Linked DNA regions of Mus musculus: all the other regions are reported to be linked to region 3. The links are microRNA targets in miRTarBase. Many come from high-throughput screens and were not tested one by one. Region 3 holds a microRNA gene; each other region holds the end of a gene's coding sequence.

Region 1 (6,732 bases), not on the chromosome of region 3:
CACATGTATACATTCACAGACACACAGACACACACAGGACCCAGAACATGGGAAGTGGATGACTTCATTAGAAACAGATGGGAGCAGCTCAGGATGGAGCGTCAAGCATGTTCGAATTATCCTTCAGCTGTCTTTCTCAGAGAAGGAGAGGAGAGCCCAGCATCCAGAAAGGCCAGAGAGACCTTTAGAAGTAGTGCATCTGGGAGGGACTTGCGGGAGAAGGACAGTGGTCTCTCTCAGGCACGTGAAGGGATGCGTGAGTAGCTCAGAGCAGGCAGAGGGAGTGAGCCAGAGAAGTCCAGGGTAGAGGCCCTGTGCCAGTGGTCAGGGTCTGGCACCTCTGCTGTGCTGAACCAACTATGCTAAAACTGTTTCTTGGGCTTGTTTTCCCAAAGAAAAGCTAAACAAAACCCAGGGTGAGCCTGAAGCTACTTACCTGACCCCAGGACTCCCTCGAACTTCTGGAATAGAAGCCAACAGAAGCTGTTTTATCCCCTCTCAGGTGCTTGTGCACACTAGGGCAGGAGCTGTACCTCTGAGCTATACCCTAGCCTGCATACACCTTTTAAAAGGGATGTCTAAACTACACTTAGGAAGTTAAGGGGTAGAGGGGAAAGGGCAGGCTGCTTCAGAATGAGGGTACTTAGTACAGATTAAGGAGGCAGCTGCTGGTCCCAGATGTGGGGGACAGAGGGTATGTGACCCTCTTCACTTCAGAGTGGGGCAGGGCCCATGGAATTATGGGGTCCCCTTAGTGCCTATCTGAAGCAGATATGATTGGCCTTCTGCAGTACCCTGAGAACTGGCAGGCCAGCTGCCCTGGACAGAGCAGGGAGTGGCTGGAAAATTATTGCTTCTTTGTGAATAGAGGACATTGAGAGCACAGCAAAGGGCATGGCTTGCCAGAGCCACATACAGGAGGGCACCGGAGTCTCTCAGGTCCTCAGCTTGGAACTTGCCGATGGGGCTCTTTAGATTGGAGAGATTTTTTTCCCCAACCATAGAGAATCAGCCTAGACAATAGATTGGAGAAAGGCCACAGATTCAGCAGTCTGACCTAGAGCTCAGACTACCTTTCTTTCCCCTGCCAGGACCTGGAAGGAGACATTGGCCCCAAGTCATAGAAGCTGAGCAGGTGATGGTGAGGCTGGACTCCAAGGGAGGTCTTGGCGATCTCAGGGAGATCCCACTACTTCTGAGATGACTTTAGGTCTGACCTGGGGCATGCAATATTCTCTACTTTGGGGCAGCTGGTGAATTGTAGGGATTAGTCTTGATCTGAGAGTGAGCGGGCAGCTCCAGCAGGCCCAAGCCACAATGAAAAGTCAAGTGTCAGGTGACAAGCTGAGTGGAGACACCCCCAAGACTCCCCAGTCCCTCCAATCCCAGCTGTTGCTTCCCCTGGAAGAAGAGAGAGAGAGGGCTGGGACCCACAGAGGAAACAGCCAAGGCCCTACTTTTTCACGATCCTTTATTAATCAGAACAGGCCTTGCCACAAAAAGCAGGGCCCATTCCCACAAAAATATGATTTTGCAAAGAGGAAAATTTTGCTGGCTTAGAGGGTGCATATGGTGGAAAAAAATTGTATGGTTCTTTTTCCCTTTTGTCTTCAGTTCTCTTTGCTGTATTTTTTTTCTTTTTTTGTGATAGTGGATTTTTGTTTTATTTTTTATAAAACACTTGCGCTCAAGGACTCAAACACAATACAAACAGCGCCACCAGTTCCCACCCCTGGGGGCCCCAGCTGAGCTGGGAGTCCCCTTGGCTTTTTTTTTTTTTTTTTTTCTTTTGTGGCTGTTTTCCTTTGTCCCTTCCCTGGCCTCTGGTGCTGGAGGGCAGGTGGAGGGGTGTGCTGGGGCAGGTGGAATTTGTATAGCAGTTACACAGAGAAGATGATCACAAGAAAAGCTACCTAAACAATGTAACAACTAAGTCTAGGGTGCCCACAAGATGTCAGATGACGCTCATAAAGGGGGTGGGGACACAGTGAAGAGACAGATTGGCTCTGGCGGTCCCTAGAGGCTCTGTGGGGTAGGGTGGACTGGCAGGTGGGCCTTGCTTTCAGGCCTCACTGACAACTTTGCTCTGGGTAGCACCTTCAGAGCCCTCCTGCCTTGACCCCCTAGGTCAGGTGATGGTGGCCTCACAACCTCCCCCATGAGGTAGGTGAAGTATTATTACCATCATTTTACAGATGGAGAAACTGAGGCCCAGGGAGTGTGGGTGACTTGCCCAAGATCCTAGGACAGTGGTGGCAGAGCTCTGGTGCCCTCCTCACCCTCAAGTCCCTCCCCCCCATTTCCATGTTCCCCCAGTTGCCCTAACATCTTATGCCCAGCCTCTGTGTCATCCAGCTGCACCCTGTGCAAACCCACTCTGTTCTCCACCCACTGTTTGCAAGGTCTGGCTGGCCCCCCCACCCCTCCACCCAGGCTGGGTCACTACTATTCCTAGTAGTCTGAGGGGAGAACAGCTATGTGGGGGGATGCTGAGCTGACTGGCTAAGAGGTGCAGGAGCACGCTCTGCATAAACCCGCTGCCAACTTTACACCTGCTGGTGCAGGTTGCTCGGGCCCCTCGGATGCCTTGGTGGAAGCACTCAGGAGACTGAGGCAGATGGAAGGAAGGATGGCAGCGATTTCTCTCGAGTTTCCAGACTTTCTACATTACCCTCTTCTGTTCCCACACAGCCTCTGCAGGGAGTTGGGAGGGTCCCTTTCCTGGGGTTACACCCAGCTGGGCAAGGGAGTTGGGGATGGTCCTATTTAAAGCAAAAGCTGTAGTATACAAACATTTAGATTTACAAGTAATATGGGTAACTATTTGTTTTACAATGGAATTATTCACTCTACGAATGATTCACCTACTACATAAGGGATTCCTCCAGGTCCCTGGGGACAGGGTGTGAAATCTGATTTAAGGACATTTTGCTATGGACAAAAGGAGATCTCCCACCTAGAGCAGAAGGGTGAGCTTAAGGGGAAGCCCACTGAAGGAAACTGTGCCCACATAACTGTGTTCCCACTGTGCTCTAGATAAGCAGATGCAGTCCAGAGCCCCTTCCATCCTTGGGGTGTCAAGGTGCCAGTCAGGGTAGAACTGTATTTATGGTCCCCAACTGCTACCATAGATGTGGTGTTCTGGTGCCACCTGGTGGTAGAATTAGGGTATGTTGGGCTCAAGTCTCTGAATTGGTTTTGAGGCTCTTTCACCAGCTGGGTCTTTTCAATACAGCACAGAGGGACGACAGGACTTAAGAGGGATCATTCTGGAGTCTGCTATTTCCAAAGGGAAGCCAGTTCTAGTCTCAGCAGAGGCGGGGAGAAGGGACGACAGCTTCTTTGGGTATGGCAACTTCAGACTCCTGGAATGCTCCCCGCTTCCTCTGCTTGCGTGGTGGGTGGGAGGGGCAGAAAGAGCTGCTACTCTGGGGTGGGGGTAGGGGTGGGGGTGGGGTATGTGTCAAGACAGCCTGGAGAAGGCCAGGGGTTGATCAGATTATGCAAAGAAAAGGTGGAGGTGTCGGGGCAAGGGGTGGGGATCGGGGGCTATATCCAAGCCAGAGTGTGGAGCAGATGCCAATTTGACTGCAAAATGAGATTTGGAAAGGTGGGGGTCCCTGGGCGAGGGGTTAGGAATGCCTGAGAAGGATGGGAGTGGTGCCCTGTTGGAAGGCCATGCACACGGTGAGTAGGTGCCTACAAAGTGTGAGCCCAGGCCCAAGGGACGACATTGCAGTAGAGAGTTGCTACTGGGGAATTGTGGGGGTGGGGGCTACAGAGACAGGCAAAGTGGGTGCCAGGAGGCAGCTGAAACAGCCATTTGCCCTGGTCCCCACTTCTTCTCAGCCGTCCATACCCTTCCTCTCCTACCTTCCCTGTGGCCTTGACCTCTACCTGACCCAGCCCTACTTCATCCTCACGAAACTCTGCTATTTTCCATAGCCAATCAGCACTGCTGGTCCCAGGGCGATAGGGAGTGAGCTCCCCCTTTCCCACACGTGCGCATGAGCTTCCAGGTGCACATGTGTACACGCATGTGGGCACACACACACACACACACACACACACACACACACAGTAGACACAACACAAATACACAGGGCCACATCTCCAGGACTCTGGAGCACAGGCTATATACTATCCTCAGTGTCCAGGGCCCAGCCGGCACCTGAAGCTGGGGATGGGCCTGATGACCAGGCCGTGGCCAAACGCCTCGGCCTTCCTCTTCTGGGCCCCAAAAAGGGGATCTAGGGAAGGGGTGGCTTCTCTCCACTCCAGGCACTGCCTTAAAGAAAACGGGGGCTATGCCCACCTGGCGGGCCTCTGGAGGGATCTGCCCATCTGGCTCTTGAGCTCTCCCCCACGTCTTTAGTATCAGCAAATCAGGAAAGAAAGAGGCAAAGCAGGGAATGGCTCCCAAGCCCCCACCCCTGAGCTGGACTCATGGGGTGGGGCTGGTACTTCCTAGAAATGGGGCCCAGTAGAGTTCTGGTACCCCTCCCTGGCTGAGCCCTCGGGGTCTCCCCTCACCATGGCAGGGGTGCCGGGCTGGGCATTGTGCATAAAGTGGTAGGGGCATGATGGGGAGCCAGGCCTTGGCCCTTGGAGCCTCCCTTGGCCCCACTCAGGCTTTCAGCTGGTGCCACTGGGCCACAGGCTGCCGGGGACGAGCGATCATGTCCTTCCAGTGTTTCACTTCACCTGGTCCGCTCTTCCAGGACAGGTAGATCTGGGGAGGAAGAGAAGATGCGTAATGGCAGGCTCTGAGGCTTGGGCCCTGTCCCATAGTAACAGCCTGGCCCACAGAGGCTGCCCCTTTCCCTTCCTGCCAGCCTGACCTAGTTTCCTGACTGCTATCCCTCAAGGGCCTGGGCATGCCTGGCCCTTTGACATCAAACTGTTACCTATTTTGCAGTGAAGGTCAGGATACAGGCATTTGGCTGGGGCAATCTTCCCTGACCTAGGAAGGGACACCATTGTTATTGTCTCTCCCATCTCCCTGCATTTCCTGGCCCCGCCCCTGACTTTGTACTGGGGGCTATATATCTCGAGGTCAGTGTGTGCTTCCAAACCTGGCAGGTGAACAAACTACCAGATTAGCCCCAGTTTTCAGATGGGAAAACACACAGAGTTAAGAGTCTTACCTTCAGTCATAGTTTAAAAGTTCAAAATGGTATAAGGAAAGTCTTGGTGCTTCTAGACTGCCAATGCAGCCTAGGCTCTTGTAAGGGCCCTGCAACATTGCAGGGCTGCCCCAGAAACTCCCAAAGCAGTCTCAGCTGAGCCTGGCCTAGACACCAGGAATGCTTAAGACCAGGGGCATTAGAAGAAAAGCGGACAGTGTTGCAAGATCCTGGCCAGGGCACCTTAAGGCCATCAAGATGACAACTCATAGGGCAAAAAACTGTCACAGGTCATAGAGCCTGGGGGCCTTGACGACAGAGTACAACGTGCTAGCTAACACTGGATCCAGGAGCAGGCCTGGGGCATTAGTGGAAGAACTGGCCAAATGCAAATGAAGTCTGACAGGTTCACAGCAAGGTCCCATGTCAGTTCCTTAAGCTGTGACAGATACATTGTGAGGGGCTAGCAATTGAGGACATTGGCAAGAGGGATATGGATACACCATATTACATTTCCTACTTTTATGTACATTTAAACATCAGGTATTACTACCTAAAATTCTCATACCTAAAGTTCTCACACTGAGGCAGAAGGATTGCTATGAGTAGGAGGCCACCCTGGAGGTACATAGTGAGTTTGAGTGCCAACCTGGGCTATAAAGCAAGAGCCTGTCAAAACAAACAAACGATAAAACACCAAGACAAAATGAGCAAGCCCTATGCAGGGGTGGAATATCTTTCTCAGCTTCAAGGCTCCTCTGTGCAACTCAGACTCCTCTGAGCCAATTGACTGATAATAGACACTGATATTACAGACAGCTGGAAGTGGCGTGTGTCTGCTGCCCTCGCTGGACTAAGTTCTCAGTCTCACTCTGAGGCTCACTAAATGCTCCACCCCACTATCCCACCATCACCACTACTACCACCGCCACAGGTCACAGCCAAGTGCTCCTTCGTGCCTACTTGCTTTTGCAATGTCAGCCCAGCTTGGTACCATAGCCTGGAACAAGGCCAGATTCCCAGTCTCCAGGAGTTGAGCTGGGCCTGTGATTCAGAAAGGTTCCAGGGTCCTTGGGCTTCCTAAACTATCCCAGGACGAAGCAAGAACAAAACCATTTTTGGGGGCTGGCGAGATGGCTCAGTGGTTAAAAGCGCCGACTGCTCTTCCGAAGGTCCAGAGTTCAAATCCCAGCAACCACATTGGTGGCTCACAACCATCCGTAACGAGATCTGACGCCCTCTTCTGGAGTGTCTGAAGACAGCTACAGTGTACTTACATATAATAAATAAATAAAACTTAAAAGAAAAAAAAAAAGAACAATGTAAAAACTAACATTATAAAAAAAACATTTTTGACTTGGTTTGGCCCACAGAAGGCTGGTCTGGTAAAGGAAGCTAAAGTACCCCCCAAGAACATCTACTTCTATAAAGCAGAGTTGTAGCATGGCTGCAAGGGCCTCTAGGGAGCTCAGTGGGCCCTGCTCACAGCATACACTCTAGTCTCCATACCTGTGCCCACTGGCTGGCTGAATAATACTCCCAGGGCCAGCTTTCTTCCACAAGGCTAGCTGCTTTTCTCTCCCCAACAACTAGTTTCTCCTTTTCA
Region 2 (6,732 bases), not on the chromosome of region 3:
TCTGTGAAAGCCAGAGGAAAGCCTCAGGTCCCTCAGGGATGGAGATACAGATGCTGTGAGCTGCCATGTGGGTGCTGGGAATCAAACCTGGGTCCCCTGGAAGAGCAGCGAGTGCTCTTAACCACCGAGCCATCACTCCAGTTCCCTAGAGAATTACTTCTTGCCTGCTTTGTTTTGGCATCCCAACTTCCATCCCCCCCCCCCCCCCATATCTCGAAGTATCTTTTGTTTTGTTTTTAAATATGTTTTGTTTTTAAATATTTATTTATTTATTTATTATATGTAAATAGACACTCCAGAAGAGGGCATCAGATTTCGTTACGTTATGGATGGTTGTGAGCCACCATGTGGTTGCTGGGATTTAAACTCAGGACCTTTGGAAGAACAGTCGCGAGCCATCTCACCAGCCCGCCTTTTGTTTTATAACTGCACCAGAATCTGTATTGCAGCCGTAACTTGCTAGTGGATAATGACAGGAGTTTTAGAAGCCGTTTTGCAGTTTTCCTAAGCGCCACAGGAAGGCAGCGCCTCTTGAAACGTCTTTGGATTCCACTGGGGTACATTTGACTATCACACTTCATCTCCATCAGATGACAGTCCAGAGCAGCATCTGCCGTAGGATGTGACTACTTTCCTCTAGGTGGTGCTGTTGAGTTAAAAATATCCCTGAACCAACTCTACCGTTTGGTGCTTTACTAGCTGCCCAGCTCTTCTTATACTTTGTCTACTGAGGAAGCTAGAACCAGCCCCTTTCCTATCACCCCACACACCCACAGCCTGGTGACAGCCTCTCTTCACCCACTGCAACCATAACTCCCAGAGAGGTCCTCACCAGGGGATCTCTTTCCTGGTAGCACAACCAACCACACTTTGCTGGTGAGTCACATCGTCCCATGCTTCTAGGGCTGACCCTCCCTCTCCTCCCCCCACCCCGTGCTACACGGAAGTCTTCACACTTCATCTTTGCAGCAGCTCCGATATGGACTGAGTTTCCTCACTCATTTCCATTTGCCCACCTTTCTGCCAGGTATTCTACACGTATCTTATAGTTCAAGAACAGCAGCCCACTTCTCTTACTCTCCTTCTAAGGAACTGAGAGGAAGAGGTCTGGAGCAGTAGACGTTGTCTTACCCTGAAATGGCTAGTCCCTCTTCCTTGAAAGTCTAATCACCTCCCTCAGCCACATCTCTTATATGTTGTACAGTCTCTAGCATTATTTCTTATAGCCAGAGGAGCTCTACACGTTTCAGGAACCGTCTCGGGACTAGATTCTCCTGCCATGTACTCCACACTTAAAAGCAACAAAACAAAACAAAATAAACCACAGCAGCAGCAACAGAAAAAAAAGGGGGGGGGAGCTACATAGATAACTCACCAGGGTGCTCTGGTGAGTATCCAGGAAGACTTAAATCCCAACACTGAATAAAAGCAGCTATGGCTGTGGTGGCCACGCCTTTAATCCCAGCACTCGGGAGGCAGAGGCAGGCTGATTTCTGAGTTCGAGGCCAGCCTGGTCTACAGAGTGAGTTCCAGCTGTGGTGGCACATACTAACATCAGCACTGGGAGGGAGGTGGTCACAGGAGGCTCAGAAGTGCAAGGTCATTCTTGACTATGTGAGGAGTTCAAACAAGCCTAGGATATATGAATGCCATTCTTACAAAGGCAATAAAGAACAAAACTTAGTGTGTGTGTGTGTGTGTGTGTGTGTGTGAAGAGAGAGCTTAGCCATTAAGGCCACTTGCTGTTCTTCCACCTCTTTCCCCTCAGTTCCTTAGAAGGAGAGTAAGAGAAGTGGGCTGCTGTTCTTGAACTATAAGATACGTGTAGAATACCTGGCAGAAAGGTTGGCAAGTGGGAATGAGGGAGGAAGTTTCTAGTACCCACAGCAGGTAACTCATAACCATCTGTAACTCCAGCTTCAGAGGAGCTAACATCTTTTTCTGGTCTTTGCAGGCACTGGTACACACAAGGCTTATTATATCCATCCATCCATCCATCCATCCATCCATCCATCCATACACACACACACACACACCACCACCAACCCCACTTAGAAACATGTGTTAAAACTAGAAAGTGCAGCTCAGGAGTGCATTTGCCTAGCATACACAAGGCCCTGGGTTACATCCCCAGCACTGCCAATAAATAACCACACAATACAGACATAAATAAACATATATAAAATGACATGTTCCAAATATTTTACTAAAGCATTTATTTTCTTAAACAAAAATATACATTAAATCTCAGATTTACAGCATATAGAAATAATTTATGATTTGCATTTTAAATTATTAATATTGCACCCAGCAGTGTAAGTCTTTGACACATTTGCATTGCCAACCCTTCCCACCATTCAAAAACAAAAAACAAAACAAAAAAAACAAAAACAAAAGCGAAACTTGAAATTGACAAAATTACACAAGCTAAATTTTCCATAAAAAAAGGAAAACATACAATTCTTTTTATTTACATGGTAAAGTTGTAAACTTTCAGAAATTTACCTCTAGGAGATAGACATACATTCTTTCATCATATCTAGACAATGCATTATAAAAGTACAATTTAATGTTTTCCTGTCCTGTGTATAGAAGATGAACTACACATGATTTCCTCTTGGGAATTCACAGACTGCTATGAACATTTGCAAGGGGAAAGAAAGTTACCTACTACAACCCACAGAGGCCTTCAGTAGAGCAGGGGGACTGTTCTGTGAAAGAAATAAAATGAGAAAAATCCCCTGGGGGGAAAAATAAGTTACCTTTTCAAGGATATTTTCCTTAATCACCTAATGTTTTTTCCAAAATAAAAAACAAAAACGAAACGAAAAAACTGTTCTTTTTGTCTTAGACATAAGACAGATGCAAGAGCGAGGCTCCAAAAGACTTGTATAAAATACTTTCTGGGAAGGGGGACACAAGCAGTTTCTTTTCAACAGAGAACTCTGCAAAATATTCCCAAAGGTATCACTGATGCCCTCTGGGCTTTTTGTTTGTTTGTTTAAACTTATCTGTTCTGAACAGTAGACCTCTCGTTTACTTCCAGGAAACACAGGGGAAAGTTCTCCACAGACTCCCTACCAGGTAAGTCTATGCTCCTGACAGTGGGACAAACTACCAGGAAAGCTCACACTCAAGACCAAGCAATGGAGTTGCACATGGGCATATACACACACAATTTCCTAGTGTTTTAAGTAATTTTAACCATTTTTGTATTGGGCTATATTCATAGTTCTCCTTGCCTGGATGTGGCCACCGGCAGCAGTTTGGATACACCTTTGTATGTATTATTCTCCTCTGTTGTGGGCAGTAGTAACAATGTTCCCATCACTTAAGAGTCAAGGCTCTTGTTTCTCCCCTCCCACCCCGCAACCTCCCAGTCCATCCAGTGACTGGGAAGAGCTAAATAGTGTTGTCTTCCAAAGGAAACCACAAGGAAAATTTCAGTAGGCATAGTCCTGTCCCTTTCTAGTCAATTTTAGGTGATCCATAATTGTGTCTATTTATAGGACATCACGTGATGTTTCTTCCATTTTATACTGCTATGGGACCTAAGACTCCAGCTTTGCCACCAAGCCACAAGGTGGCCTGCCATGTTCCTCAGCACATGTATATTGTATAAAGTTGACATCACATTTTTTCCATTTCTCAGTTATCACTTCTTGTTGAAAACATTTAAATCCCTTTCGTCTAGCATTTCTGAAACACACATTCCATTATCATGATCTATTATCATGATCCCTTACGGTGCAAGAGATGCCACAATTTATTTCTCTTATCTAAATGGTACTTAATACTAGTTGATAATGTCCTCAGCTTTTAAAAAATATTTTTTTGTCATTTTTAAAAATTTAAAATTAAAGTAGAGAGTCAAACCGCTTGGTAGTACAGAGAAATACCAAATAGTAAAAAAACATGGGATACATTATTTAGCTTGGTAGTAAAATCAAAACCAGAGTGAAATGTTGCACCTAAATCATTCAATCAAGGAAACTTGTTTCAAATTTCGAAAGTTGGTAGAAAGAAACAGGGAGCCCCAACAAGGTCTGAAAAAGTCATTAAACCACTTCCTGTCAGGTGATAAACATTAGCAACCCTTTGTTACTGCACCCATACATTAAAAACAGATTTTCTGTTTTCTTCTTTTGAAAGATGACAAGCAGAGGGGGGAGTGCATCTGAGAAATCCACATTTGAGGCCACAGAGAGAAGAGTGTAATTGTAACTTTGTAGTGTAGTAGTGTCCTTCCAGCTGAAATGGGAGACTTTTCTAAACTCTGCCGTCTTCCATTAGGCCAGGATTAAAAAAAAAAAAGTTCCCTTTGAATCTCAGCAGACACAATCCGCTGAATAACAGGTGGTGTCTTGGCTTTGCGATTGCTTAACAGCACAATCCTAGAAGTTTATTGAAAAGGTTATTGTCATCAGTGACAACTTCAGTTTGTTTGTGTTTTTAAAAAGGTCCTGAGTCGTTCATTAAAGAAAAAAACAAAAACAAAAACAAAACGTCTTCCCAGCGCTCCGGTCTCTCAGCAGAGCAATGCCAATCAGCTCTCCACTGTGCGCCGGTACTCAGCCGTGCCATCCGCGATGATGGCATCCAGGGGCGAGCGCTTCTTGCGGATGCTGCGGCCAGAGGAGATGAGGTCTGCGTAGCCTCTCTGATGCGAAAAGGCATAGGCTGAGCGCCTGGAAGATACTCCCCTCCGGAACACGCTCTGCCGCCGTTTCCACTGCTCTTCAGCCTTCAATCGCTTTCGATGCTTCTGGATCTGGAGAGAGAAAACCAAGAAGAGACAGATCTGAGATGCACAGGTCGCCTAGCCAATAGAAGCTGGGCAGAAGCTAGCCCCGCGGAGAGCCTTTACACCCTTATGCACACACAAATGCCCCCCCCCCTTTTCTGGACTAGCGGGACATGAAGGGTCTGGAGGGTTGGGGACTATTTCCACTATCCTACAGGTAGATTTTGGAAAACTATTGCCAGGCATTTAATTCCAGTACTCAAAAGATGGAGGTATCTTGGAGGTCAGCCTGGTCTATATTGCAAGTTCCAGGAAAACCAAGCCTCGCACTTTTCATTATTTCCTGTCAACTTGACACAAACTAGATTCATTTGAGAAGGAATGTTAATTAAGAAGCTGCCTCCATCAGATTGGCCTGTAGGCAAGACTATAGGGCATTATCTTGATTAGTGGTTGGTATGGGAGGGCGCAGCCCAATGTGAGGGTTCCACCCCTGAATAGAAGATTCTGGGTAGTATAAGAAAGTAGGCTCAGCATGCCGTAGAGAACAAGCCAGTGAGCAGCACCCCTCCAGCAGTTCTTGATTCAGTTTCTGACTCCACGATCCTGCTTGACCGACCTTCTGCCCTGGCTTCCCTCAGTGGTAGCTTGTGACCTGGGAGTCATATGATGAAATAAACCTTTGCTTCCCCGAATTGTGTTGGCCATGCTATTTATCAGAGCAGTAGAAAGCAAACTAGGCTGCTAAGCTAACATTCTTTGTGAATCCCAGGGCAGACTGGTATGTGTTGACAAACCTCAAAGGCATGTTACAGCATAGTCTGTCTGTCTGTCTTTCTCTTTCTTGTTCTCTCTCTCTCTCTCTCTCTCTCTCTCTCTCTCTCTCAGTGTGTGTGTGTGTGTTCATATGTGCAGGTGCTTGTATATGTGTGTACATGACTATAGAAGCTAGAGATGGATGTCTGGTGTCTCCCTCTATCCCCTCCACCCTAATTTTTGAGATAGGATTTGTCATAGAATCAATTCAGGAGCCCACAGATTCAGCGACACTGGCCAGCAAGCCCCAGGAATCCTCCTGTCCCCACATCTGGAGATGCAGGGTGCCAGGTGAAGTTGTTAGTATGTGTGCTGGAACCCAGACTCAAGTTCTTCTTTCTTGCACTTAGAGAACTGAGGTCTATCTCTTCTCTTGTTTACCAAGCACTGTCACAGTGTTCTCCTGGGCCCTTGCTTAGCTAACATCCACCCTCACCTTACCATAGAATGCCGATTTATAAAGGTAAGCACCTCTCCTCTCTACAGTGACATTCTTCATAAGAGAGGGAGTTTTATCTCGTTGGCTATTAGTTCAATGTACAGCCTAATTCTGACAAATGACATCTGAGAAAAGTACACGTTCAAAGTTCCCAGGATCCTGAGGGAAAGGATGGAAGCCTTGTCCCCATTTATCGATGTGATGCCAGGAACTGCTGTGGCCACCTTACAGCATGAGATGAAACTAATAAAGAAGACACTCCCTTCAGAAGTGTGACGGGAAAAGCAATGTTAAATTGCTCAACAACGGGGCCTGAAGTCGGCTGATCATTACGCAAGGGGCTCATTACACTGTTTTTGAGACATTGATTGTACTATCAGATATGATATTTGCTTTAAATAAGGAGGGTGGGTGGGTGGGGGGAGAGAGGAGATCACCCTCTCAGAGGCAAAGGGGAGGGGGAATTGGATAAAGAACTGTGGGAGCAGGGACTGGGAGGGGGGCAACGTCTGGAATGTAAATAAAATAATCAATTAAAAAAATAAGGGGAGGGGAAAAGAAGCCCAAACCATTAGCATGGCAAATTGTTAAGATAACTGTAAAACCAAAGGGACAAGACCTGCTTCACTGTGTGAACAAACGTCTGAAGGTTCACGATCGATCACGATGGAATTAAAGAGAAAGAGTGAAACAACAAAATTCTTATCAGCCTTCCCACAGGCTTTCAGCAGGA
Region 3 (6,732 bases):
GAATCTACAGAGACTGAGAATCTGCACATGAGGGCAAAGCTCAAGCCTGTGACCATGTGTCAAAGTGGATTCTTAGGGGAGGGGAGTACCTGGGGGAACAGAAGAAGAGAGATGGATGAGAGCCTGAGCCAGGGAGATGAGAAAAGCCAGACTGGATGGAGATGTTTCAGACCAAGCTGGCTCAAGGGTGTAGGGCTATAGGCAGAAAGCTCAGCTCTCCAGGCACTCTTGAGAATCTGGCTTCGTCATTTGGCGTTCGCTCTTCCTTTCATCTTACACTGTGGCATGCATGTGTACTCTGTGCTTAGCACAGGATTGCAGATCTGAGGACCATAGATGCACTTTCTGTCCCTAAAACAAGAGGAAGATGCCGGTGACTTTTCCTCTAATGCTTTCTGAACAGGGACTTCCTACCTCAGCCTCATCCCATTGTTCCTTTGTTTCTTGGAGTACTTTGTGCCTCCCCCACCCCAATGGCATGGGGCTCTGAGCTTCCACCCCACCCTCTATCTCTTCTAGAATCTTACACACTTCTCCATTCTGTTGTCAACTACCCTTCACTTCTTACAGTACTCTAGTGAGTTCCTTCATCCTTAGATCTTTCAACAACCTGTTTCAGCTCCCTTCCCTCTTGGCAGCTTTGCAGAACTCACATATTTGGCTCCCTGCCACCATTCCCATTAAATGGACCCCTGTGCATGGGAGCAGCCTCTCTTCTGAACGCTCACCTGTGCCTAAGGCTCCACCCACTGTGAAGTTAATCTCAACCTGACTCTACTGCCTGTAGCAAGCCGGCCGCCCAAATGCCCCCCTCCACCAGCCCTATGTGTCTCTGTCTCTCTGTGTCTCTGTCTCTCTGTGTCTCTCTGTCTCCCCCCCCCCCCCGTGTGCGTGTGCGTGCGTGCGTGCGTGCGTGCGTGCGTGCGTGCGTGTGTGTGTGTGTGTGTGTGTGTGCGCGCGCGCGCGTGGGTGCATGTATGCATTTCTCTGAACACTTACTTAATTACCACCTGCCACCCCACACCTACACTGGGATACCCTGGTTTTTCCTCCTGGGATCTCAACCCTGTCCTCTCTGCTCCATGTCTGTGACTTCTTTGCTACCTGGTTTTCATTTTCCCTCTTGAGCTCTTGCTCTTTGCACCTGCGCTTGCTACCAAAATGCAACTCACTATGACCTTTACCAACTGGGAGTATCTTCCCTTTGGTCCCAAGGTAAAGTTCAAGGACTTTCACCATTGTTAGAAAGCCTTGTATGACCTGTGCTCCACCAGGCTTACTTCTGGTTCCACCTGCTTCATCCCCATCACAGAAATGCTCTGGACAGCATGATGGGCTCCTCAATCCCCACTCTGTCTCAGTCTGACTCCCCTCCCCTCCCCTCTCTCTCCTTCCCTCTCTTCCTCCCCTCCCCTCCCTCCCCTTCCCTCTCTTCTCCCCCTCCCCTTCCCTCCCCTCCCTCCCCTTCCCTCTCTTCCCCCCTCCCCTCCCCCTCCTTCCTCTCACCCATCCTCTCTCCTCTCCTCTCCTCTCCTCTCCTCTCCTCTCCTCTCCTCTCCTCTCCTCTCCTCTCCTCTCCTCTCCTCTCCTCTCCTCTCCTCTCCTCTCCTCTCCTCTCTTCTCCTCTCTTTACTCAGGCCACTGCTTACTCTCATCTGCCCTTACTCTCTGTATCCTTTCTTTCATCCTCCTCTCCTCAAAACTTGGCAGAAGTCTCCCAGATCTTGCAAATACACTTTTATTCCTTTGGACCTCTTTAGCCTTTGCCTCTTGAAGTCCATCTTCTCTAGAATTCATTTTCATGGGAGTTTTCCCTGCTAAGTTGGAGTCTACTGGAAGGCATAGCATGGTGTCTCTTTGCTCTGACTGCATGCCCTGCAGATGTTTCATGGTCAAGATGGAACCCATGGAAAGTCATTGGGCTAGAGGAGAGGCATAGGTCTATGGCATAAGGCTGGTTGGGGCAGGCTAGGCAGCTACTTGATGGGATAATACGGAACTTTGGAAGAGGCAGCCAGTTGTTTGATTTGAGAATGATATAAGCAATGATGCTCTTGCCATTATGAAAGTATGGACTGAGCAAAACACCACATGGGGTTTAGAATTGACTCACCCATTTGGAAACAGGAAATAAACTGAAGATGACCTGAGGACCATTCAGAGGTAGCATGCAGGGATGTGGCCCAGTAGACACTGGTCTCTAAGTCCTTGATAGATGCTCATACCCAGGAACCTCCCTTGGGCTTCCCTGGAGACTATAAAGTCTCATAGTTTTATACCCATTAAGGTACCATCAGAGGGGAGGGTTCTCACTATGAACTTTGGAAGTACTTGTCCTCTGAGCCTTGAGTTTATGTCTACATATCTGGTACATGGCAGGTCTTTCACAACTAGAGGTCTTTCACATGGTGATCTATGCCATTGTGGTGTCCCCTTTGTTGAGACAAGCTGACCATTGGCCTTCAGTTTGACCAAGACTAAGATCAAAATGGTTAGAATATAGTCAGCACAGTGGTTCATTTTTCTGAGTTAGTGTGGCCTTCATCTGGTAATGTACTACCTGAGGGGGGAGGTGCCGCCTCTCTTTCAGCACCGTGCAACCATTCAAGGAGGGTGTGTTGTTCACCACATCTGCTTCCCACTGCCAAATCAGGCCTCAGAAAAGCTTTCTGGAAGTGACGCCAGCTTCAGGGACAAGGCCCAAGTTTCTAGGGGTCAACACCGTTCCATGGTTCCTGAAGAGATGGTAGACTATGGAACGTAGGCGTTATGTTTTTGACCTATGTAACATGGTCCACTAACTCTCAGTATCCAATCCATCCTCGGAGGGCACCCCGGAGGTGTTACCAACAGCGAGGAAGAGAATCGGTTCATCCTCACCCACTCCGTGTACTTTCAGTTGCTATGGCTGATATCTGATCTACAGCAAGACCACCATCTTCTGGGCCCCCAGTGAGCCCTCTAGGAGACTTTTGGGAGCTTGAGTCCTAGGACCCGAAGACATGGTCTTTCCATGTGAAATGCATGAGATGTCTATGGGACATCTCCAAACCAGCCAGCTCTGGAGGCTTTGTGGAGCCCATTTTCCCTCAAGGGAGACCTACCTGTTTAGCATCTACCCTGCTCTGAGCATTGAGGAAATGCTAACATCTACCTCTTCTCAAGTTCAAGTCCAGCCTCAGTTCAGTTGGGTTTTTAGTGGCAGTGCCAAGTGGGGATGAAATAGTAGTTTTGAGTTTAGGGAGATGGTTGACCCAAATAATACCTTTTTTTTTTTTTTTTTTTTTAAAGTTCACTATGCCTTAGAAGGCTTCCTGGAACTGCCTTTGATTGAAACAGATGTGCCATTGTCTTTTTTTTTCTGGTGGCACCCTTTTCCTATGGTTATGATTTGGTCTCACAAGGAGATAGGGCAGGGCTTCCAATGCCCTGATCCATGTGCTTGGCCTGCTTTAACTAGCCAGGTCATCTTTGTTTTTTTATTGCGTACAGGATATTTGGCTTTCCTAATTTGGCACCACTCCTGCACATTAGCCCCCTGCCGTGCATGCCCTTATGCCTACTGTCCCTGAGTGCCCATTCCTTCAGCACCCGGTAGGCACTTCAGCAGCATTTGTGGAGTAGTAACCCCCACAGCATCGTTTGTCTGCAACCTTTATGAGCTTTTGGAAGAGCTGCCGATTTTGGGGATGAGTTGCTGGTGTCAAACCTGACATGAAGATGAGACTCTTGGCTTTTGTGTGCCTGCCGCATGATGCATGCTTTGTGCCCAGCCAGACTCAAGATTCCACCAGCTCAATGGCCCAGAGGGCTTCCTGGACGTGCCCTCAGCCTTTGTCCTCGGCGTCTCTGTGTGGTACTTGGAGAGATAGTAGACCGTATAGCGTACGCTTTATCTGTGACGTATGTAACACGGTCCACTAACCCTCAGTATCAAATCCATCCCCGAGGCCCCTGGAGAAGATGCTGTCTTCGGGGAGACGCCAGTAGACTCATCATCAGGGCTTCTCCATGATGCTGGAAGAGATGGTTTTCAATATGGCGTGTGTTCTTTCCTGCATGATGGGAAATGACATAATCTCCCCCTTCCTCTGCTGAGCTCTGCCTTGGGAACTCTTGCCATCTCTGGGGAGGAGACCACAAAGCTTTCTGGGATCAGTGCTCTTCGTGACCTCAGTGACAGGGGTGTCTAGGCGACTCTTGGTTAGTAGACTCCATGACCTGCTTCTTCTCAACACCATCCCTGAAGAGGTGTCCTGAGGCAACCTGGCAGACATGAACCTTCTTACAGCTGTCCTTGCTGTCACGCGGTACTTGAAGAAATGGTTTACCGTCCCACATACATTTTGAGTATGTATGTGGGACGGTAAACCGCTTCTTGGTATCCAGCCCAGCCATCCAGTCCATACCATCCTCGAGCAAGCCTGAAGTGAGAGAAGAAACGTTGTTTTGGCTTGCTCTCTACATCGGGCTGCTTGGCCAAACATCCCTCTGCTTTTTGTGTGCTTTCTCTGTTAATTCATGTGGCAAGGTGTTCCTGTCAGCTTCAGTGCAGCCCTTAAGGGCTTCTTCAAGGATGATGACAACCTCCAGGAAGGTGTCCTACATCCCAACTGGGCATGCTCCCTCCCTCCTTAGGACTTGAAAAAGTGGCAATTAGCTCCACAGATGCTCATCATCAAGGGATGCTGCGTGTTTTCATCATCTGCAAAGCTATCATCAGATGCCTTCAAGACATTATGCCCATAGAAGGACAGCTAGGGCTACATGATACAGTGCAAAGACAGATGCATGAAGACACAGTCCCTGTTTCCACTGATGCTTCGTATATAGTATCTTTTTTTCCATATCAAGTCTAGCCTTCTAGAGGAAGATGACCCAGCCTGGCTCCTCCATGTATGCTTACAGATCAAAGTTGCTTCTTGGCTCACTTCTTCTTACCTCCAGCCCAGCCTTGGAGAACTTGCTGAAGATGCTGCTAGCCTCAGAGACAGGGCTCTGGTTCTTGCATCAGCAATGACCTCACGGTACCTGAAGAGGGATCAAGCAAACTGCATGTGTATTATTAACACCATTTGTAACCTGGCCTACTCTTTTCAATATCAACTTCAGCTTTGAAGGTTTCCAAAGAGGCCCCATTAACCTTGGGGGTGGGGGGGCAAGGCAGAAGGACAAATGCCTTGGGGTAGAGGTTGTCCATGCTTCTTGCTTTACTTACAGCGCATGTTAATTTGGTCCACCTTCCCATAATAGTGAATGCGCCTTGGGGGCTTCCTGTGAACAATATTTCCTTAAAGGCACAGTGCTAGTTACGGGGTCTTCTCTTCGCGTCCTTGCAAACTTCTCTTTGCTATATTCTCTGCATCTGCAGCAGGCAATGCATGGTGGTCTCTTTTCAACATTGCATCTAGGGTTTCCTGGAAGTGATAATCATGAGGAAAGAAGCCAGCTCCTGCACCACCCTCTCTCCATGGTACCTGAAAAGATGGTTGACCATAGAACATGCGCTACTTCTGTGTCGTATGTAGTATGGTCCACATCTTCTCGTTATCAAAGTCATTCGTGAGGGTTTTCCAGAGACCGAGCCAACTTCATGGGAGATATCCTGTCCTGGCTTCAGCACAGTACTTGGGGAGATGGTAGACTGTCGAGTGTGTGCGTTAATTCCAGCATGTACAGCATGGTCCACCACATCTCTGCATCAGCCGGTCACCAGGGGCTTTCTGAAAGCCATACCAATTGAGAGTAGGGCTCAGGCGGCAGACCCTATCCAACACAGATTACCCAGTGCTTGGCTACAGGCCATGTTCATTACCTACGACTCTGGCCATTTGATCCAAAGCCAATATTTGGCACCCAGCCCAGCCTTACAGGGCATCCTGGAAGTCATAGTGGCATTAAACATGAGTTTGTGGCCATTGCCACACATGCCGATTGCTGGTAGTTTGTGACACTCATTGAGAAGGCATTTTGGAGGTAACACCAAATTAAGTAAAGTGAGCTGGAATCAGCCAGCGTTACCTCAAGGTATTTGAAGATGCGGTTGACCATGGTGTGTACGCTTTATTTATGACGTAGGACACATGGTCTACTTCTTCTCAATATCACATCTCGCCTTGGAAGACTTCCAGGAGGTGACATCTGCTTTGAGGAAGAGCCAGTGTCCCGGTCTTCCTACTGCTGCTGCTTGGTACTTGGAGAGAGGTGGTCCGTGGCGCGTTCGCTTCATTTATGGCGCACATTACACGGTCGACCTCTTTGCGGTATCTAATCCCGCCTTGCGAGCTTTCCTGGAGCTAACACCAGCTGTGGGGTGGGGACACTAAATGTGTGTGCTAGCGCAACCCAGCCAGCGGGTTTGTCTTTTCTTGTGTCTGACAATAACTCTTGTGTGGCAGCCTTCTTCTCAGCAAATTTCTCTGGCTTGGCAGCTTCGTGGGCAGGGTGACTTGCAGACCAGGAAAGTGGCATCGACATGTGATACACGTGTGGGTGCGTGAGGTGGTTGACCAGAGAGCACACGCTATATTTGTGCCGTTTGTGACCTGGTCCACTAACCCTCAGTATCTAACCTTCCCTTGGAGAACTTCCTGGAAGAGATCTCAACTTTTGGGGACAGAGGCAATAAGCCAGCTGTACGCTGTTAGACTTGGAGACAGCATCCTCAGTACTTGCAACATATGTGCCTGTTATGGTAGTATTGGATGGGCTTCCAATGCTGTCCTATACTTG

What was found. Region 3 holds the annotated microRNA mmu-miR-411-5p (UAGUAGACCGUAUAGCGUACG, at 3,870-3,890, shown strand). A microRNA usually pairs through its seed, bases 2 to 8, with sites in the 3' UTR of a target mRNA and lowers its output. Matches are read on the target gene's strand: a 7mer-m8 pairs with bases 2 to 8, a 7mer-A1 pairs with bases 2 to 7 and ends in A, and an 8mer does both.
Region 1: miRTarBase lists Syt7 as a target of mmu-miR-411-5p. Seed matches in the 3' UTR shown: 7mer-m8 at 4,080-4,086.
Region 2: miRTarBase lists Atp8b1 as a target of mmu-miR-411-5p. Seed matches in the 3' UTR shown: 7mer-m8 at 3,023-3,029.

Annotation. Positions count from the first base shown.
Region 1 is chr19:10,446,340-10,453,071 of GRCm38, reverse strand. Syt7 (synaptotagmin VII) reads right to left here. Exons shown (of 12, transcript NM_001373944.1): 12 at 1,455-4,732. The coding sequence ends at 4,628. Among named protein-coding and RNA genes, the nearest start is that of Lrrc10b, 7.7 kb to the left of the region's middle.
Region 2 is chr18:64,526,794-64,533,525 of GRCm38, forward strand. It overlaps Atp8b1 (ATPase, class I, type 8B, member 1), which reads right to left. Exons shown (of 28, transcript NM_001001488.3): 28 at 2,186-4,771. The coding sequence ends at 4,547. Among named protein-coding and RNA genes, the nearest start is that of Nars, 14 kb to the left of the region's middle.
Region 3 is chr12:109,706,321-109,713,052 of GRCm38, forward strand. It overlaps Mir411 (microRNA 411), which reads left to right and starts at 3,855; the gene lies at 3,855-3,936. It overlaps Mir379 (microRNA 379), which reads left to right and starts at 2,740; the gene lies at 2,740-2,805. Mir299a (microRNA 299a) reads left to right here and starts at 4,318; the gene lies at 4,318-4,380. Mir299b (microRNA 299b) reads right to left here and starts at 4,373; the gene lies at 4,325-4,373. It also overlaps Mir380, Mir1197, Mir323 and Mir758.